Drosophila melanogaster: one gene and its partners. The protein of the gene in region 2 purifies or fractionates together with the protein of the main gene of each other region. This does not show direct contact. Each region holds a gene or a part of one and is shown on either strand. Other genes may lie near its edges.

Evidence for each region.
Region 1: the proteins of Dera (region 2) and psidin purify together in Drosophila melanogaster (affinity purification with mass spectrometry, with the first as the bait; one large-scale study listed by BioGRID). This does not show direct contact.
Region 3: the proteins of Dera (region 2) and CG15084 purify together in Drosophila melanogaster (affinity purification with mass spectrometry, with the first as the bait; one large-scale study listed by BioGRID). This does not show direct contact.
Region 4: the proteins of Dera (region 2) and CG7675 purify together in Drosophila melanogaster (affinity purification with mass spectrometry, with the first as the bait; one large-scale study listed by BioGRID). This does not show direct contact.

What each region holds. Positions count from the first base shown.
Region 1 is NT_033777.3:20,020,046-20,026,993, reverse strand, and holds psidin (phagocyte signaling impaired), read right to left. Parts: upstream 5,291-6,948; 5' UTR 4,941-5,290; coding exon 4,880-4,940; intron 4,791-4,879; coding exon 4,566-4,790; intron 3,638-4,565; coding exon 3,145-3,637; intron 3,080-3,144; coding exon 2,680-3,079; intron 2,615-2,679; coding exon 1,331-2,614; intron 1,268-1,330; coding exon 1,069-1,267; intron 1,009-1,068; coding exon 824-1,008; 3' UTR 512-823; downstream 1-511. Other genes in the region: CG4424 (uncharacterized protein), read left to right, coding at 53-163, 229-367; PIG-L (phosphatidylinositol glycan anchor biosynthesis class L), read left to right, coding at 6,112-6,646.
Region 2 is NT_033778.4:12,423,734-12,427,477, reverse strand, and holds Dera (Deoxyribose-phosphate aldolase), read right to left. Parts: upstream 1,996-3,744; 5' UTR 1,768-1,995; coding exon 1,716-1,767; intron 1,663-1,715; coding exon 1,079-1,662; intron 1,017-1,078; coding exon 609-1,016; 3' UTR 503-608; downstream 1-502. Other genes in the region: CG13154 (uncharacterized protein), read left to right, coding at 1-500; CG8520 (uncharacterized protein), read right to left, coding at 2,227-2,349, 2,404-2,655, 2,710-3,312, 3,370-3,744.
Region 3 is NT_033778.4:18,849,319-18,852,463, forward strand, and holds CG15084 (uncharacterized protein), read left to right. Parts: upstream 1-1,525; 5' UTR 1,526-1,617; coding exon 1,618-2,568; 3' UTR 2,569-2,638; downstream 2,639-3,145. Other genes in the region: MetRS (Methionyl-tRNA synthetase), read right to left, coding at 1-782, 861-982, 1,070-1,172; CG18190 (uncharacterized protein), read right to left, coding at 2,639-3,145.
Region 4 is NT_033777.3:18,377,581-18,383,004, forward strand, and holds CG7675 (uncharacterized protein), read right to left. Parts: upstream 3,599-5,424; 5' UTR 3,452-3,598; intron 3,157-3,451; exon of another isoform or gene 3,039-3,156; intron 2,775-3,038; 5' UTR 2,774-2,774; coding exon 2,633-2,773; intron 1,785-2,632; coding exon 1,646-1,784; intron 1,388-1,645; coding exon 657-1,387; 3' UTR 544-656; downstream 1-543. Other genes in the region: CG14309 (uncharacterized protein), read right to left, coding at 4,369-5,424.

The DNA of each region.
Region 1 (6,948 bases), on a different chromosome or scaffold from region 2:
TATTAATTAACTACAAGTAGAGACTAGCTAATTAATTGTATTTCCTCCACAGAACCCATCGAAATGAGCGTCCTTATGCCTGCAAGACCTGCGGAAAGAAGTTCACATATGCCAGTGTCCTTAAAATGCACTACAAGACGCACACGGGCGAAAAACCCCACATGTAAGTGGTTTCGGTTTTAAACTAAATCAAACCTAAAACTTATCACGTTGCTATTATTACTTCAGATGCCAACTCTGCAACAAAAGCTTCGCTCGCATTCACAATCTCGTGGCGCATCTGCAAACGCAACAGCATATAAATGATCCACGACTGACTGCCTATCTAAGTACCTTTAAAGTGGGGATTACTGTAGCTAATGCTTAATAATATAATATTTATAAGATCGCGACATTTTACCTTTGCTTAAAGCCTAAAACTTTGTATATACGACCTTTGTTATATAAAGTTTGCTAGAAAGATTTCATGAAACTAACTAAAAAGCATTCTAAAAAAAAAAACAAACTGTTTACATTTTTACAATTTATTCTTTTACTTGACTTACTTGCAAAGCGGTACGCAATCTTTTTTCTTTGTTTTGTTCTTTTCTAATTTTTGTTTTACAAAATTTTACAACTTTTATGTGTTGTACGAGGGAAATGCCGAAAAGTGATTGATAAGTGCTGACTTGGCGCTGGTGTTCGAGATAATTGTAGTGTAGGAGGATTATGAGGTCGGTTGTATCCGTTAACAAAATTAAATAACAAACTATGAACTTGGATTGTGTGGGGGCAACGATGACCGGACTGGCTGGCTGATGGCCTTTGCACAGCAAAGAAGCATCTACTTGGCCACCATGCGTATCTTGTCCTTCAGCAGATTGCGCAGCTCGGTGACCATCAGCTCGTGCGAGTCCTTAAAGGTGGCCGAAACGTCGCCGATGAGCGTGGCTTCCACCTCCGGCTTCAGCGACATGTCAGACATAAAGGAGCTGAGGTCGCGTGGCAAAACGGGCGCCTTCCAGGAGCCTAAGGATTGCAGAATCATACCTTAGTTTATCTTTGGGCGATTTGTCTAGAGCCACTTACGTATGGCCGTGTCGCAGGCCTCAAACTTGTGCTTCAGCTGTCGCATCAGCTCCTGCAACATCTGGCTGCGCTCCTTCTCGCTGATCGGCTGCGGTCCATCCACCTTGTTTTCCACCGGCTTCTTCTTGGTCTTGGTCTTTGAGCTTACCTGCAGCTTGTCGTTCAACACGGACAGAAGGAAGGCGTACAGCGATAGCATCTGGAAAAGTTATAAGAACATTGGTGAATTTAAGATTACCTGCTTTTACTACCAACATTTTACCTCTAAACTGGCTGCCACTTTCTGCTGCTGACCTCGCCGCTTCCACAGACCGTCAATGCCGTTGCTTTCGTTGCTCTCGTTGATGGTCTGCACGCACAGCTCCATAGTCGCAATAACATTGTCACCCACCCGCTTGCACTGCTCGGCCAGCTTTGCCGACCCGCTCTGCAAGTCAAGGACCAACTGGGCAAGGTCGTCAAAGAAACGTTCGTATGGCATGTCGAGCAGCAGGTGAAGACGTGTGGGCAGCAGATTGACTAGAAATTTTTGCGCCAACGGCTTGTAGTTCATCACGCGCAATCTCTGGAATAATCCCGTCCAGGACTCCCGCAGGAGCTCCAAGGTGGCCGTCTCTGCTCCCGCTGGCGAATCCTTTAAGCCCGCGCCGTGGTACAAGTCGATGAAAGAGGCAAAGAGTCGAAGCATCAGCGAACGTACTTGAAGCACCTCAACTTCCTGGTCGAACGACTCCCTGCGCTCCTCCGCAGCGTCTACCTCATGTAGCGGATCCCATCGGATAATGGCCCCTAAGTCGCGATTGTCGCTCAACTCATGCCAAGCGATCCGGTCCTCCGCCGGCTCAATACTCATCGCCACATATGCGGATAGATTCTGCGTGATATTGCCATAGCAACTAACCAAGTCACAGATCTGCGCCTCCACCGAGCAGGCCACGTACTGCAAGCTGTTGGTTAACCGCTCCTTGAAGTTCATGAACTCCTCCATTTTTGAAAACGTGCAAAAGCGATATGTTAACGCAATGTATTCCAGCCTTTCCTTATAGCTGTTCGTAAAAAACTTTAGGGTGGCATCGTACACGTTACGATTGCCCGAGAAGCGACCTCCAAGAGCCAACAGTTGGCAGTGCACATAGCCCATGGAGTCCAGCTGAATCTGCTTAATGTCCAGATACTCATACATCTCCTGTGCGCCCACTTGGCAGCCAAACAGATGGTAGATCTTTAGACTTAGCAGTTTCACGTGGAAGTTACTCGTACTGTTTCGCAGAACATACTGCAGCAGGCACAGCGCCTCGAACAGGTGATCCGACTTATTTTCCCGCCTACTCAGATCGTACATTACATTTGCCGCCAGCAGTGCGTATGCATCCGATGGTCCCATTTCCGTAGCCAGCAACTTCTTACCGAAAGTAGTCCTGCCGTGCTCGTAGTGCAGCTTGAGCGCCGTATAGAAGGCAAGCAGGTGGTCCGCAGGCAGATCCATGTGGGATCCGCACATTCGAGAGATTTGCAGAGCGCAAAGATGTTTTTGCAACTGCTCTTTCTACAATAATCATATACCAACAATCGTTAGACTCAAAGTTGAATTTATAATTTTTGCGTACTTACATTTTTTGGAAGCGACGTGGAGGTTACTCCGCTCTCCAACAACAACTTGCTGGCTAGCGCTTGCCTCTGGTTCATGCTGATCGAAGGCAAGAACAAGGCGATATCGTGAGTGCAGCACGATTTGTCGCCGAACAGACGGAAGTACTCAATGACCATCTCGTCAAAGTCACCGATTAGTTTTTCCGCCGGCAATTGCTCCGCTCGCATGCGTTGGTGTAGCTCCAACCGCGCCAGATAGGGTCCCCTTTTCTTGCGCTCCGAGGAGTCAATGATGCGCTGAAGGAACTCCTGACACCTGGCCAGAGAGTCCTTATCCCCGTTCTCCACGCCCTGCGGCGTAAGTTTTAGCAGCTCGAACGAGCTTTGGATATACTCCTTGTAGAAGTCCCAACGATCACGACTTGGGGATAAAAAATAAAACTTAGAAAACGTAGTTATACATATGAACTTATTGTTTAAGCTCACTCTGCGTCCAGCAGCTGCTGCAGCAGCTCATTCAATTCCCGCCAGTTTCCCAGCTCCTTGAGCAGCTCGAACTTCATGCTGACTGGAGCACCGGGGTACAGCTTCGCGCACAGCTCACCAGTAAGGAATTCCCACGCCTCCTGGTACTTGTTTTGTAGCTTAAGTATGTGCAGATAGAGGAAGGCCTCCTGTTCCGTCTCCATTTTGCCCTCCTTGATGTGCTTGTCGACCATGCGTTGCGCCAGTCCCAAGTAGATTTTCCGCTTCTCGGGCAGCGCCGATTCCGGTCCACGGATTCCCTGGAAGACTACGCTGATCACCGACCAAAAGTAGTAGGCATTTTTCGGCTGCGCCTTGTACAGCTGCAGGGCCACCGCCTGCTGCGCCTTGTAGTCCTCCACCCTCACATGTGAGATGAAGAGGTGGGCGAGGAGCTCCTCGTTGCCCGGATTCTGCTTCACAGCGTGCTGGTACAGCTCCACAATTTTGTCCACTGCAAAGAGGCCGATATTTATATATTATTAGCGATTTCAACTTTCGCAGGTACAGGTATCTATATATTCAGATCGTTGGCACGCACTTGCCACTCGTCGTCCGACTAAGAGAATGCGATTTTAATTAGTCGGGCGAGGTGCGCGTGCCAAGAAAATACGAAAATATGAATTGTGGCCACTTCGTGTGCGTAGCAGGGGCGTCTCTAGGGGATTCACAGATGTGGCTAAGAAACATTCTTACTTAAAAATGTTGCTTTGTATTCGTCAATCGAATTTAAAAAAGCTCAACAAATTGTATCCTTTGATCGACCATGGTTTCGTATTTAAATAACTTAAGTAAATATTAATATTATCTTTAAATCTATACTTTAAAATATTTTGTATATACATATACATACATATACAAGCATTTAACTCATGGATAAGGAAGCTATTCTTTTTATAAAATTTCAATTCTAGAATGCCTGTAACCTTTACACATTTGAAAGGAGAAATCTAAATCCTTAATTATTATCTATACATACAATGAGTCCTTGCCTCACACAGGCATTTCGTTTTTAGATTTAAAATTGGATATTAACTTACAAAAGGTTCTTCATAACTTAAAAGTGTGCTTCACAAGTCAAATTCATAAATGAAACTAATAATTTATAGCCTATCAGGAGCTACTTGTGAACAAATTAGTTATTTCTGATGGCTGGTGCCCTTCTTCATCGCGTTAGAACGAGAGACTAGGTTCGTGCTTTAAGAGTTTATGGCTAGTTGGTTATATCATACTCCTAAATAACTTCTACTTGAGGTAATGTACCTCCTAGACCATGCTTAGTACGTTATCAATCTTGCATTTGACTGAACCTAATCCCCAGCAAACGGTGGCTCCACGTGGGCTCAGTACATCAGCCCTGCCGGTGGTTTACCCATACGTACGTTGTTCCATTTCGCGGTAGCAGAAGGACAGCACCTGCAGCGTGGAGTCGTCCGTGGGCTTCTCCTCGGCAACGGTCTGGAGGCATCCGTGGCTTTCGTCATAGCGTCCCAGTCGCAGGAGCGAGAGGCCTTTCAATGCCCGCGCGCAGAGCAGGTTGGGATGTTTGCGTAGCAACTTCTCGGATTCCTGCAGAGCCTTGCGATTGTTGCCCACCTCCAGGTTGTCTGCAAAGGATTGGGATGTTAGTCTGTGAGACTGTGGACCCGGCACATGGAGCGCCTCATTCCGCCGTGGACACGGACAACACACTCACCGTATACCGGCCGCAGTCGCCGCTCGAACAGGGCCGAGTCCATGCCCTGCTGCTGTGCCATGTTATCGTGTTATGTGGTGCTGCTGTATGCTGCTAACCTAATTACAACGTGCTGCATGCACCTCGAACTGAGACTCGCTCTCTTTTGGGTTTTGCGGCACGCTGTCGTCTGCCGTTGATTAATTTCCTGCAATCGTTTGGGGGCTCTCCTTGGGTTGCCCTCGGTGTTTGGGCGGTCGGGGACGGGCGGCTGGCTCTCGGGCACTCGAATCACACGGTCGTAGGCTAATTATGTGCTTATTTTCATAGAAACTAGTGACTTTAAATTTTATTCAAAATAAAAAAAACCTCAGACTGCATATTCGGTGAGAAGAGAGCGGCCCCTGTATTTTCTCCAGTATTTTCTGGTATTTTTCGAGAAGAGCATGCCGACATTAGGGGTCTTCGCTCAAATCACAAATTTAAGCCATCAAGATACTCTTATTGGGAAACTTTTAAAATTCCATTCAATCATTCTGCTTAGAATTTTAAGGTTAGAATATGTCTTGTACAAAAGTGAATTTCTAATAGTAGTTTTTAGTAATTTTGTTATTATCTATGATCAACAAAGTATTGATATTCTTCAAAAAGTAGAAATGTTCATAACTGTAATTCTTTATATTTCAGATTAAGTTTTCAAAAAAAACTTAAGATTTTATAAAAACAGTGACAAGAGTACCCCTACCGCTGGGCACTTTGTCCAACAGCTGAGCGATAGAGATGGACTGATATATTCTCACGAATGGTAGCTTGCCAGCGAACGATGAATGGCAGAAAAGAGTTTATCAATTTATTCGAGTGCCAATTAGATAATTTAAGCTTTGTAGTTGCACGGCGCACCGGACAGGTTGATTAGAAATCGTGAATGAGTCAGCGTGAGTCACGCACCTGCCACGCACCACGCCAGTTGCCCATCTCTAGCTGCTGCCCCCGAAAGTCGAAAACGCGTAAAGTTTTCGAATAAAATGCAGAGATTAGCCGATTAGGCGGCGCGCGGGCTCGTAACCAAACGTTTTGAAGTATTAAACTACCGATTAAGAAACACATCCACTTAGTGAAATAGTTTAAGTAACCGCCCGAGCACCGTTATCGCCGCTTTTCCGCTTTTCCTCGCTGCCAAATTGCGCTGCATGTCCATTTTTGGTGAAGAATTTCTCGCCAAAAATCTTGCCCTTGGCCGGACGCAATGAGCGATGAGATTTAACTGGCTGAGCGAGTACGTGGCCAGCATATCAAGCAGCATTGCATCGACATCCCCGTGGCGCCAACTGCAGCAGCAGGTGCAGCAGCTCGTCCCCAATCCTCAGGCCATCTACTGCCGTATCAGGTCATCATCCGCCGAAGCACTGGAGCACGTACTGATCGCCTGTGCGGTGTACTTGCTAGTATGCCTGGGCCTCTACAAGCTCACCTTCTGGCTCTCGGGAGCCGGATCGGGATCGGGACTGGACGCCCACCACAACGGCAACGACACCAGCAATGCCGGGTCGGGCGAGGGGGCAGAGCTGAACCCAAGTTCGGATGGCAATCGGAGTCCTGGCGGCCTGAAGCAGGCCCTTCAGTCCGGAATACGGCTGCGTAGCGTCCGGCTGCCCAAAACGGCGTGCATGGAGCGCGTCCTGCTGATCACCGCCCATCCGGATGACGAGTGCATGTTCTTCGGACCGCTGATCTACTCGCTGACGCAGCGCCAAGGCTGCCAGGTGTATATACTCTGCTTGTCCAACGGTGAGACCACCAGCAGTGACATCATCCCCAAACCACCAATAGATCTGGAAGCATTAAACGAAAGTACACATTTCGAAATCAGTAGCGAATCTGACTTAGCTTTATTGCTGCCATATGGGCACAGCATTCTCTTTGTGTTAGCCAACAATCGATTTCGTGCAATATATGTAGTCCGTATTGGAATTTTTAATAATCTTTAAATGTTATATATTCCTGCCCATTCTACTGTTATTATTTTAATTATTGCAAAGATTCAGGGGCTACACCGATGTTATCTTTTTATAGATAATAAAAAATAATAC
Region 2 (3,744 bases):
AAGTGCAGCCGCAGCAGCGAATGCTGCCGCCAACGGAGCAGCCGTATAACTTCTATTTACCTCTATACGACTTCGTGGAGCCCAAGCTGGATGCCAAGAGCCGAATGCTGGAGAAGATTGCTCCTCCGCCGCAAAAGACGGAGCACAACTACTACGCGGAAAAGCCAAAAAAGAAGCCAAAGAAGTTTAACGCTGCCAACAAGCACATCAACCTCAATCTCAAGTGGCTTAACACCTACGAGAGGGCCATGGGCGGAGCAACTGCGCCCAAAGCCATGTATCTGGAGCAGGACGAGCGCAACCGAATAAACTTCGACGACTCCTTCTTTGCGGTGGACATGCAGGTAAAGATTCCGGATAATCAGCCCCACAAGGAGCCAGCTGCGCCCACAGAGCTCTTGCAGCATGGCGAAGAGCAGGCCGAGGAAGATTTGATGGCGGCTCCTGCGCAGTTAGCCTTTAACTTCAAGTCTCCCGTCCAGGAAGAACGTCGAACATAGATGCGGTTTTTTTTGCTATAGGTTTTAGTCAGTTGTATAAAAAAGCTACAATAAATGCACTTAGAGTGAGTAAAGTCCAGAATACGGATTCGACCAGTTGGCCTCCTCCTACTTCTTCCGCAGCTCCTTGCAGAAGGTCTCGGCAGCAGCAGCCTCGCGAGACACGGGCACATTTTTCTGAGCCTCATCCTCCTCGAGTTTTTTGACACCCTGACGCACAACGCGTTCAATGTCGTCCAGCAATCCGGAGGCTCCGAAACGGAACCTCTCGGGACGCAACCAGCGGATGCCAAGAGTTTCGTTGACCAACGTCATCCAGGCGATCGCATCTCGTACAGTCTTTACTCCTCCGGCTGGCTTAAGGCCCACAATCTGGCACGTGCGTCGTTTGAATTCCTGAATGGCAAATATCATGACCAGGCCAACGGGCAGGGTGGCGTTGACTGTCTCCTTTCCCGTTGAGGTCTTGATAAAATCCGCTCCGGCCATCATGCAAACCATGGCTGCTTTGTAAACCTAAAGAAATTAATGGATTTGAATGGTATTTTAGTATAGGGATTAGGCGATATTGATCTCACATTATCCATGGTGCCCAGCTCCCCGATGGCCAGAATTGTTTTTAGGTGAGCCCTTTGTCCACAGGCACTGCGCATAAGGACCACCTCGTTGTACATGGCCTCCCAGTCGCCAACGAGGGCCAACTGGCGATTGATCACAATGTCGATCTCTGTGGCTCCAGCAAGAATGGCGTGGCTGATCTCCTGCAGGCGGGTCTGCAGGCCGTACTGGCCCGTGGGAAATCCCGTGGCCACCGCTGCAATAGCCACCTTATCCAGTTTGTCGTACTGTTGGATAGCTAAATAGGCGTCCTTTACCCTGGCGGGATAAACGCAAACGGCGGCCGTGTGCATCTCTGGGATGAGAGCCCGGTCGAAGAACTTGTCAAAGAACTGCGGCTCGAAGGGATAGCAGGCGCGTAGGCATAGTCTCCGCACATTGGCAGCCGTATCATCGCCCGCCAAGGTGGTAAGATCTGTCAGCATCAGAGCCCTCAGCGCCCAGGCGATTTCGTTGGCTCCGGTGACATGGCATCGCTGGGACACCGTCAAAGCGATCTCCTCGACCTGCCGCAGCGAGATGTTTACCTTAAGCAGGGAGGGATCTGCGAAATATATATGTATATATTTAAATTCGTACTATTGTGCGAATTCTTACCATAGGGCAGGGTTTTGTTTACTTCCAATTCCTTCACATCCATGCTGCTCATTGCTGTCAAACGAAAATTTAGCTGACTAAATTCCACTTGAAGATAAAATCGTTCGATCGCCGATCTTGACCTCTAATCTTCTACTCAACCTCAACCGAAGAACATGGAGAGTCTTATCAATTTGCTTGTTGGACAGCTGATGACGACGTTGCCAGACCGTTCGCATTAACTGATAATTTATGAGATGGATTCCGTTAAAAGATCACCGATATTAACAATAAGTAAATTTGTTATGTAAAACTCCACAGCTTGCTGTTTAATAAAGCCAATCGCTTAGGTAACTTTGTCTATTTTTTATTGTCTTAATACTTGCGAAATACACCTAATTTTAATATTGCATTTTCGATATGAAATTTGTAAGTACAAGATATTGTGAATTTTAAAATACCGCGTCAGCGAGGTAGAAAACATGTAATTTTTATAGCGCTAATTGAACTACTGCTTTGTGACAAGGGGTTTTCATCGATGTTTGGCCCACTGCTCCCAGTACTCCCTCTTCTGCATTTCATAGAGTCGAGATAGTGTGCGATCAAAGGCGAACAGCTCTTCCTCGCCGGTGAAAAAACTGGCTTTGGATTCTTTCTGTAAACAAAAACGTGTTGATTTTAATGGTAGAAGAATGAGTTACTAACTTACTATATTTAGATCGTCCATTAGGGTTCGCTCAGAATCGGACAGAGTTTTGGAACCTCCAGTAAAGCTGAACAAGTTTTCCAGCGCAACGTCGGATGATATCACCACACGCACTCGGTTATTGTAAAGGGTATCTATGAGCGTGATAAATCGTCGCATCTGTGCCTTCACATCAAGGGTCAGCTGGGGCACATCTCGGATGAGGACGGTGTGAAAGAATTGCGATATCTGTAAGAAATCACTGCCAGCCAAAGGCTAATGCGGAATATGTTGAGTATGGGTAAGATTATGTATTAATACTTTGCTTACGCGATCACAGAGTTCCGAGAAGGTGCTGTCCAGTACCTGGCCACACGTGCGATTGAAGGTCAGATCTCTTCCGAAATGAGTCAGGGTTCGCGGCCGGATAATATCGTTTTCTTCGGCGCACAGGATCTTGAACATGCGATTCATACTGCCGTCCGCATCCGTTTGGCCTTTGACGAAGTAGTTGGTGTCACCAGATTGGGCTATACGTCGGTAGTCAATAGAATCCAACTGGGACACCTTACAGCGACGCTGAAGTAACGCAATGAAGGGCAGAAAGTTCGTGCGCTGCAGTCCGTTCTTGTACAGATCCTCTGGATGCCGATTGCTGGTGGCCACAACCACAATGCCATGGCGGAAAAGGTGCGTAAACAATCTCTTTAGCACCATGGCGTCGGCTATGTCCGTCACCTGAAATTCATCGAAGCAAATCAACCAGGACTCACTGGCAATCAGGTCAGCAACCGGTTTTGTGGGATCAAATGGTGCTGGTTTTTCAGAATTAAAGGCACGGTCAACAGGTCCTTGTCTCTGCTTGGCCTCGTGGATGCGGGTGTGCACGGTGTTCATGAACGAAGTAAAATGGACGCGCTGCTTTCGATGAATCTGAAAGTCACAAGTCATGTGAATATGGGCCTCGAGAAATACTCATTCATCACTTACTTGGGTACAGCAGTCGAAGAACAGGTCCATCAGAGTGGTCTTGCCCACACCCACGCTGCCGTACAGGTACAGACCCTGAGGAGCGTGACTGCCAGCGTTAGGATCATCCTGATCGTCATCTTCGGTGGAAGATTTCCTACCAAAGATTGAACTGAAGAATCCTCCGCCGCCACCGCCCGCCCTGTAGCTGGGTTTATACCCCTGAATCTTGTGGTACAGCGCATCCAGCTCCTTCATCGTCTGCAGCTGCCTGTTGTCGGTCATCAGTTGGCCAGAACTAACACGCTTCTCATATTCCTTCAGCGGACTGAGACCGCTCATGTGGCAGGCGGGCGCCCATAGGAGCAGCGGCTTCTGCCGCGCACAGCGGACCAC
Region 3 (3,145 bases), 6.4 Mb from region 2:
CAGCGGTAAATGGCGTTGTGCAGTTCGAAGTACTTGTCGCAGATCTCACGGGGAGTAAGGTTCTCTGCCAGTGCCTTGTTCTCGGTGGCCGTACCGTACTCATCCGTGCCGCAAATCAAGAGTGTGTTGTAGCCAGCAGAACGCGAGTAACGAGCATAGATATCCGCAGAGAGAACACAACCAATGATGTTGCCCAAATGTGGCACATTGTTGACATAGGGAAGCGCCGAGGTGATGAGCACGTTACGCTCACCGGGCTTGGGAAGAACAGTTCGCTCCTCCTTGATTTCCTTTGGAGCTGTGTAGGTAAAGGCAGCCTTCGCCGCGCTTATTTCCTCATTCGTAACAGTATCCGCCACCGTTGGCGTGGTATCCACAAGAAGTTTGCTTGCATCCGCCAGGCTGAGACGTTTTAATGGTACATGATGCAAACCTCCATAGCGATTTGACTGCTGCAGAGCATTAAAGCTTAGATCCTTTAGTGGCTGTTCGGCAAGAACTTCCTGAACTTCGGGAAGCGCTTTCACCCTGCCATACCAATCCCTCAAGTTGTCCACGTTCTGTGCTCCCTTGAGAGTGCCATCGGGAGCAAGGAGCGACCAAATGGCGATGTCGGCGGCACTGGGTTTGTCGCCAGCCAGGTAGGGGGTAGCTTTCAGTTTGTCATCCAGCTTCTTGACCAGAGCATTCAGCACGGGCAGCGCGTTTGCATCTGCCTTGTGGCCCACAGCCATGTGGTGGGCCAAAGCCGGGGCCAGCAACGTGGCAGACCATTCCAGCCACTAGGGAGAGAGCACATACGGGAATTAGTTTAACCTTCAGGGGTCAATGGGCCAATAAGTAATTTTCGGAACCCATACCTCATCGCGCTGCTGCCCCTTGCCCACGAAAAGGTACTTGGCAATGGCCGCCGGCGAGAACAAACGCAATCCGTTGTCCAGCTCCAAAGTGGGCAGCACCAGCAAGTCCTTGTACTTAGCGTCTGCAATTAACAATAGTTATTGCATCAGAAATGAGTCATTTTCAGAGCATTCCCCAGAATTCGAAGGGAATCCGTGGCAGAACTCACCATTTAGGTTAACCAACTGCACCTGCACCGGCTGCTTGGCAAATTTGGCGAGCATTAGCAGCTGCAGTCCCAGCGGGTTGCCATCATTCGTGTAGATTATCATTTTGCCTGGATCGGACGCTAATTCTAATTCAATTTACGTGGCAAAAAGGGTTAAAAATCCAACCAAAGTTTTGACGATGCCCACGAGAAACTATTATTTTGGTGATGGGACAGATGGAAAAGCTGTCACGCCGTCGGTGATGTTATCGATTACTTATTTATTTTATATGTCAAATAATTTGAAATAAACAGTTGGCATTAAAGTAACAGGTAATATAGTAGGTCATATTTATTACATATTAATTGTAATATGACTAATAATAACAAGACTAATTCATATATGATTTTCTGGCTATTTTTAGCGTTTTCCGCACCACCGATAATGTCATCACCAGCGACCCGAAACAGCTGATTTAAAAAAAGCAGAAATGTTTATTTACATTTGACAGCAAAAGATTGAGCTTGTAATTAGTTTAAATATTTAAGTAATCCTATCCACTTAAAAAATGGGTGAACGCAAGGGACAGAACAAGTACTATCCGCCCGACTATGATCCGAAGAAGGGCGGTCTCAACAAGTTCCAGGGAACCCACGCCCTGCGGGAACGGGCCCGCAAGATTCACCTGGGAATCATCATCATCCGCTTTGAGATGCCCTACAATATCTGGTGTGATGGATGCAAGAACCACATCGGCATGGGCGTGCGCTACAATGCGGAGAAGACCAAGGTGGGCATGTACTACACTACGCCGGTTTTTAAGTTCCGGATGAAGTGCCACTTGTGCGACAACCACTTTGAGATCCAGACGGATCCCGGCAATTTGGACTATGTTATACTTTCGGGGGCTAGACGGCAGGAGAACCGCTGGGATCCCTTGCAGAACGAACAAGTTGTACCGGAAACCAAGGAGGTACAAAAGCGTCTCTTCGACGATGCCATGTACAAGTTGGAGCATCAAGCCAAGGATGCTAAGGCAGGGGCAGATGCCAGGCCCGTGCTCCAGAAACTAGTGGAGCGCAACATGAGCGTCTGGGATGACAGCTATATGGCCAATAGTCGCCTACGCGCCGAGTTTCGCCAGCAGAAGAAAGAGATCAATGGTCAGCAGGAGCTGGATCGACAGTTGTTGGCCAAGAGCAGCTTGGACATTGCTCTCCTTCCGGAGACCACACAAGATCGCGAAATGGCAGCCCTGATGAAGTTGCAGACGAAGTCAGCTCTGGAACGGGAATCCGAGCAGCGGTTGGAGCTGCTTATGCGTCCAGCGCTTCCCGGAGCAACAGTCACCACATTTGGTGGACTCAAGCGACAAAAGGTTCTGAATACCCAGCTCCAAGTACAGGATCTTGGCATACGGCGTAAAAAGTTGGAAGAAACTACATCTTCAGCCACGAACGAAAAACCCATAAGCTTAGTGGGGGATTACTCCTCCTCAGACAATGATTCCAACGGCTGATTTTATAATGCTTTCTTTATAAATAATTAAATGATTGTATAAAACAAAATAAGTACAAATAAAAAGAATTCTAATATAATCCGTCATTGGGATCCGCGTGTTCGGCGCCTTCATCACCATTATCCTCATTAACCTCGACGGGTTCCTCGTTGATTTCACCATCTATCGTTTTGTAGAGCACCGCTTGAATGCGTTTGCACAACTCAACTAGCTGGTTGTTGTTGATCATGTCGTTGACCAAATCCTCGACCAGGCGCAGTTTGTTGTAGATCTGATTGCTGGCCTCCATGATGTCCTCCCGCTTCAGGCTTAGGTTCTTCATTTCATCAATCAGCTCTTTGAGCGCATCATCATTGGCGTTGACTGGTGATCGCTCCTTGGCGAATTGGCGCGGCTTTATGGGCTTTGCCAACGGCGCATTGGCCAGCGACTTAATGTTCTCCAAGCCCGGAGCCTGCGAGTCGAAGAACTTCTTGAACCACTGCAGGAACTCAAAGTTGTCCTGGAAGCGACCCTTGATCAGTCGATCGATTGGTACCGTTTTGTCCAGCTTCAAGCGATTGAAGGCTTCCTGGAA
Region 4 (5,424 bases), on a different chromosome or scaffold from region 2:
CCTAGAAGAACTTTTTTAAAGATCATTTGACTAAGAAGCTGCAGCTACAAAATAAATAACGAGAAGCAATAAGTTGAAAAGTTCAAAACTTGTCAGAATTGTCATATCTAGTTACCTAGCAAAAGATTTATCGAGTGACTGTCAATATATATTACATGTAATACAAAAACGGTCCCCTTGCAAATCCAAGCCGAAATCCTGTGCCAATAAGAAGTCGAGTTCCCCGACTAACAGATACCCGTTGCTCAGTTAGTGTGAATGCGCTGTGTCTATGTATCTAGAATCTGTATGCTGCATCACAACCTTCTAGCTTTTAAAGTTCCTGAGATCTCGACATTCAGACGGACAGAGGAACATGGCCAGATCGACTCGGCTATTGATCTTGATCCAGACTATATTCTAGTCTTGATTCTAGTATACCCTTTTACTCACGAGCAACCGATATAACAACCAAGATCTTTGTAATATATTATATATAGTCAGAAATTTGATGTGCTTTTTTTTCTGACAGCAAATATATCATATTGAAAACGAGCCACATTTAATTATACAAAATCATTTTTATTGAGAAAACTTAGGCTACAGTAAACTCCCCCTTAAAAACAAGAAAAGTAAATCAGTAAATTGTGCGTTGGCTCTCAGCCGCAGACACCCGTCTAGATTTTGGGATCCTGGGGCGTAAGCTTGACAATCTTCACGGACTCCTCCCAGATCTTGAGACCCTTCTCCTCATCGAGGGCAGCAGCATTAAGGGTGGCCTCCTTGCAGTCCATGAAGTACTTTCCAGACACATTGGCCACCTCATTGGATGTGGCCAAATAGATAGTGGTCTGGGCGCCGGCCTTGGTGGTCTTGAAGAATCCCTTGGTGATGGCCATCATGGGCAAGTTGAGGGGGAAGGGAACGTTACGCCAAATGCCCGAGTCGATCATGCCGGGATGCAGGAAATTCACTGTAACCTTGGTGCCCTCCAGCCGCTTGGCCAGCTCCCGGGCAAAGTAGATGTTCGCAAACTTGGACACATAGTATAAGTAGGCAGCCGGGAAAGTGCCGATGGGATTGAGCTTGGCCAGGTTAACCGACGACAGGCGGTACAGCTCCGAGGCTACGATGACTATGCGAGCCGGCGCGCTCTTCTTTAGTACATCGATGAGCAGATGCGTCAGCAGGAAGGGTCCATAGTGATTGGTGGCCATGGTCAGCTCCACGCCATCCTCACTCGTCTGTCCGCGGAAGGCCAGAGCCATGCCGGCATTGTGGATAAGCACATCGATCTTGGGCTCGGTCTTCACAATGTCAGCGGCGAACTCACGGACGGACTTCTGGGAGCCCAGATCCAGTTTCTTGACTAGGATCTTGTTGTTCTTCGTCTCCTTGACGATCTCATCTGTGGGAAATCAACAATAAATTACAAAATTCGGTTATGTAAAAAAAAACATGGTTAATGCAACGCCAACATATTATAAGATACTTTCTTTAAAGTAATTACAACGTAAATATTTAATAAAAAAAGATCATTGGTAGTAAGCAGTTTTTGCCAGAGTCTATAATCAACTGGATGAGACCAGTTATCGGAATTTGACCGTGTTGCATGTCCTGCCAGATCCTTGGCATAACCTCATAGGCATTGTCTTGGTCCACTTACCCTTCACTGCATTGGCAGTCTCCAGGTTCCTGCAGGCCATGATGATGCGGGCTCCACGTCCAGCCAGATCCTTGGCCGTCTCCTTGCCAATTCCGCTGTTGGCGCCTGTGATAATGACTGTCTTGCCCTCCATCTTTGTCTGTAATCAATGTCGAAGGTTAATCATTTAATACGGCGCTGCAATCGAAAATTGGACGAGGGCGGTTCGAAAATATGTTTACAATACTAATTAGTTGGCGCTTGTTCACAGTCACAGTAATCGCAGTTCGTCTGGAACGGAAGCTATCTTAGTTTTCAGACCCATTAACGGGTCGCTTAATTGCCATTCGAGTGCTGAGAGCTTTCTGTGAATCAGAGGTAAGCGATCTCACAGATTGTAACCGAGATACCCAGAAGCTTAGATGTTTTGTGGGATACGAACAATGTTCGGTCAGGTGGTAATCGTAGCTCAGAGATGTGACGTACCTCGCCTCTCAGAAGGTATCTAATTTAATCTGTAATTAAGTCGACGCGTCACAACTGACCAATGTAATAACAAGATTGAAACACGTTAAGTTTTCCTAGTGGTGATTTCATATATAGTTAAAAGATTTCCATAGTCGGAATGCTTGGAATGCTACAGAATCGTTTTAATTATATGGGGTTTTTCCAGATAGTGATATATGTAGTTTTCTATAGAGCGGTAAGCTGAACCATTTTCAATTATGGATCTGTAATGTTTATCTGAATAGTTCGCATTTATATGAATATATAAAATTTGTAAAAGTTTTGAGCGATTAATAAGCTTAAGGTCGTGTCCGAATACTGTTTTAGTAAACTATCCCACCATCATTTGTATGTATATGACAGCTCATCTACAAGATCTGAAAAGAATTCGCAGCGGAAGTGGGAGCAACAGCCATATAAAGTGCGAAATATTCGAGTCGTGTCGCGATTCTGGGGAGCATGGGACTTGGTTTTTTGGATTGGGTGAGGTGCGTTCGTTACCTCGGTGAAACATCGTCCCGCCGTGATGCGCAGATAGAACCGAATGCTCATCAGGGTGGCCACTATGGCGGCCACTGAAGTCATGAGGAAGATGTCGCGCACATAGTGCTCGGTCGACAGCCAACCGAAGATGAAACCCATCCTACAAATATGCCGAGGTGTGTATACTATATATTGTATCTTCATATACGTATATATCGGTGTCAACATGCAAATCAGATTATATAATAACCGAAGCTGCCAAAGCCAGACGATTGTCTTAGGGCATAACGAAACGAGTTTGGTTTTGGGTTTTGGGGTTTCATGGTTTTGGGGATATTGGTTAGTCGGCGAAGGTTTTCACAATTCAAATCGTTTATCAGTGACTGTCAATAAATCAATTTCGAAAACTGTTGAGAAAACTTACACTTTCACTTTCACACATGTGCGTAATTATGGCTTATTATGATGAAACGCCGAAAAAAATAACATTCAACCAAGTTCATTGACAGCCCAAACGAAAGAAGGTTGAACAAGAAAGAAAGTCTGAAGTTTCATGTCGTTTTGAGTTTCTGGTTTTTTCTTCTCTGTTTGTTTTTTTTTTCCCCCACCGTCCACGTCACAAAGATTTCCAAGAGCTTTCCTCAAGACTCGAAGACTGGCTCTGGTTACGCTTGCATGCACCATTTAAGAACCCCCCCAACCGAACCACGCCCTACAATGCAGTCTCGAAAAGAAACAAGATCTATAGATGTATGAAAAAGTCTAGAAGTGACCCGTTTTTGGGTTTTGTTCCTCAACTTTTGCCAGTCGGAGACGAGTTTTTTAGTGCAAACTCACCTGTTTTGGCTGTTGGCTGATCTATAATTTATTCCAACTTCTGCTGACCTGCACTTTGGACTATATCTGCGCTGCGAAATGGAATTGGTGGATCCAAGAGCTAGTGCCACAACCTTCGCCTTGAACGACTAATCGGAGACTGAAGTCGGAATTCCGATTATAAAGCCGAGGCTGCGGAGAATGCGCGATCGTCTCCACCGGTTTGGTATTGCCGTGGTCGCGGTGATTTTGTTATTGCACTTATAGCCATGGTAACAGGTTAGCCAAGCGGCTTTCCGGGCTCCTCTTTGGGATCGTCTTCATGAACGGTTCACTCGCAGCGAAAGAGCGAGCACAGAGTGGAGCCAAACTATAATACATAGTTACCAGCGGTAAGAGAAAGATCTGGGTAGTGGATTCCAAGAAAGTGTGTCTAGAAAGCCACCTGTCGGGGGCTTCGCAAAGCTTCTTTTCTAGTTATGCAGCTCGAATGATGAGCTTGAAATAATGTAGAAAATAATAATGGATAGTAATTAACTTTTTTAATGACCAAGACTTTATTACTATTTGAAGTACTACGGGTAATTGTATAAACATGTCAGATAAAAATCTATTTTATTTTTCATTTCATATATCATTAACCGAGATACCACTGAAATATATCAACATTCTTTTCAATTCAATGCATTTTATTATAGAGATGACATATTCACAAGTACAATAAAGAATGCTCAACAATCTACCACAAGCTTAGTCTAAGCCCGTCTAGTTCGTTGCCTTAGTCCTGTATATAGCTTTATTTGAAAAATATAATTCCCTTAGAATTATCGCTCAAATATAATTCCTTTGAATGCAGTAATGTTTGAAAATAAATATATATTTACATTCGGTTATAATGCTGGCAGTTTAAACAAGGTCATATGGTAATATAAGTCATTCTACTTCTCAATGCTGTTTTGTCGGCGGGGTGGTTGGGTTTCCGCATCCGTTTCCAAGTGCTTGGTTAAGGTGTTGTACCATTCGTTCATATGGTTGGATATGATGTTGATGAAGCGAGATACCTTTGATTTCATAGTGCTCACGAGGCTTTCGGAGAGTTTAGTCAGACTACGACCAGAGGCCAGCGAATTCTTGCTGCTGATCCTCATGATCTTGGATTCCTTTTCCTCCCTGGGCTGGCTGGCATCCTTCTCTGCCTCGTGATCCATCTTGTACTCGTAGTAGGTGTACCTTCCCAGCGGCATCATCTCATCGCGATCTGCCTTGTCTATGGCATTGGAGGGCAGTTCAGCCAGGGAATTAGTGTTAAGTACGGCACGCCGCCTTCTCATAGCTGGTAAATCCCACCAGGAAGTGATACCCTCATCGGCTGGCTTTTGAGGCAATTTCGAATGAAGAGTAGGCGTTGCCTTCTTTCCCTCAAAATGATCCTGTATGAGGGACTTCCTACCGACATTCGCCGACTCCAGGGAACTTTCCCGCATGCCCTCATCTCCTAGAGAAAACTCGTGTTCATGCTCGTTGATGTGGCTGAGGAAATGCTTTCCAAGCTCTTTTTGGGCCTGCAAAAAGTCGTTGGCCACGTGACCTAGCCTGGAGTGACGCCTTCTAGCACTTGGCACCGGTTGCACATCCTCCTCGGGCTCGGACTCTTCAACAGACTTGGGTTTTTGGGACAGACTAGCCTTGGCCATGGTGGCCTTGCTGGAGAAGGGTTCCGGAAATAGCAGTGAGTTCAAGGTGGCTCCCAGATTTAATCGCTTGTTCTGCTTGGGAGCTGGTAGGGCCTCAAAGAATTCCGTGGGCAGTAGACGCAACTTGGGACGCCCTTCTGTTTGCTCCGGTTCCTGCTCCTGTTCATCCTCTTTGTCCTCCCTTTGAATGATCTTTAGCTGACTCTTGGACTTGGTCCTGCGCTTTTTGGGTACCTCCCGCTCAAGTTCCTCTTCGTTTTCCACCTCCCCATCCACAGTCTCAATGTGCTTCAGGTGGAC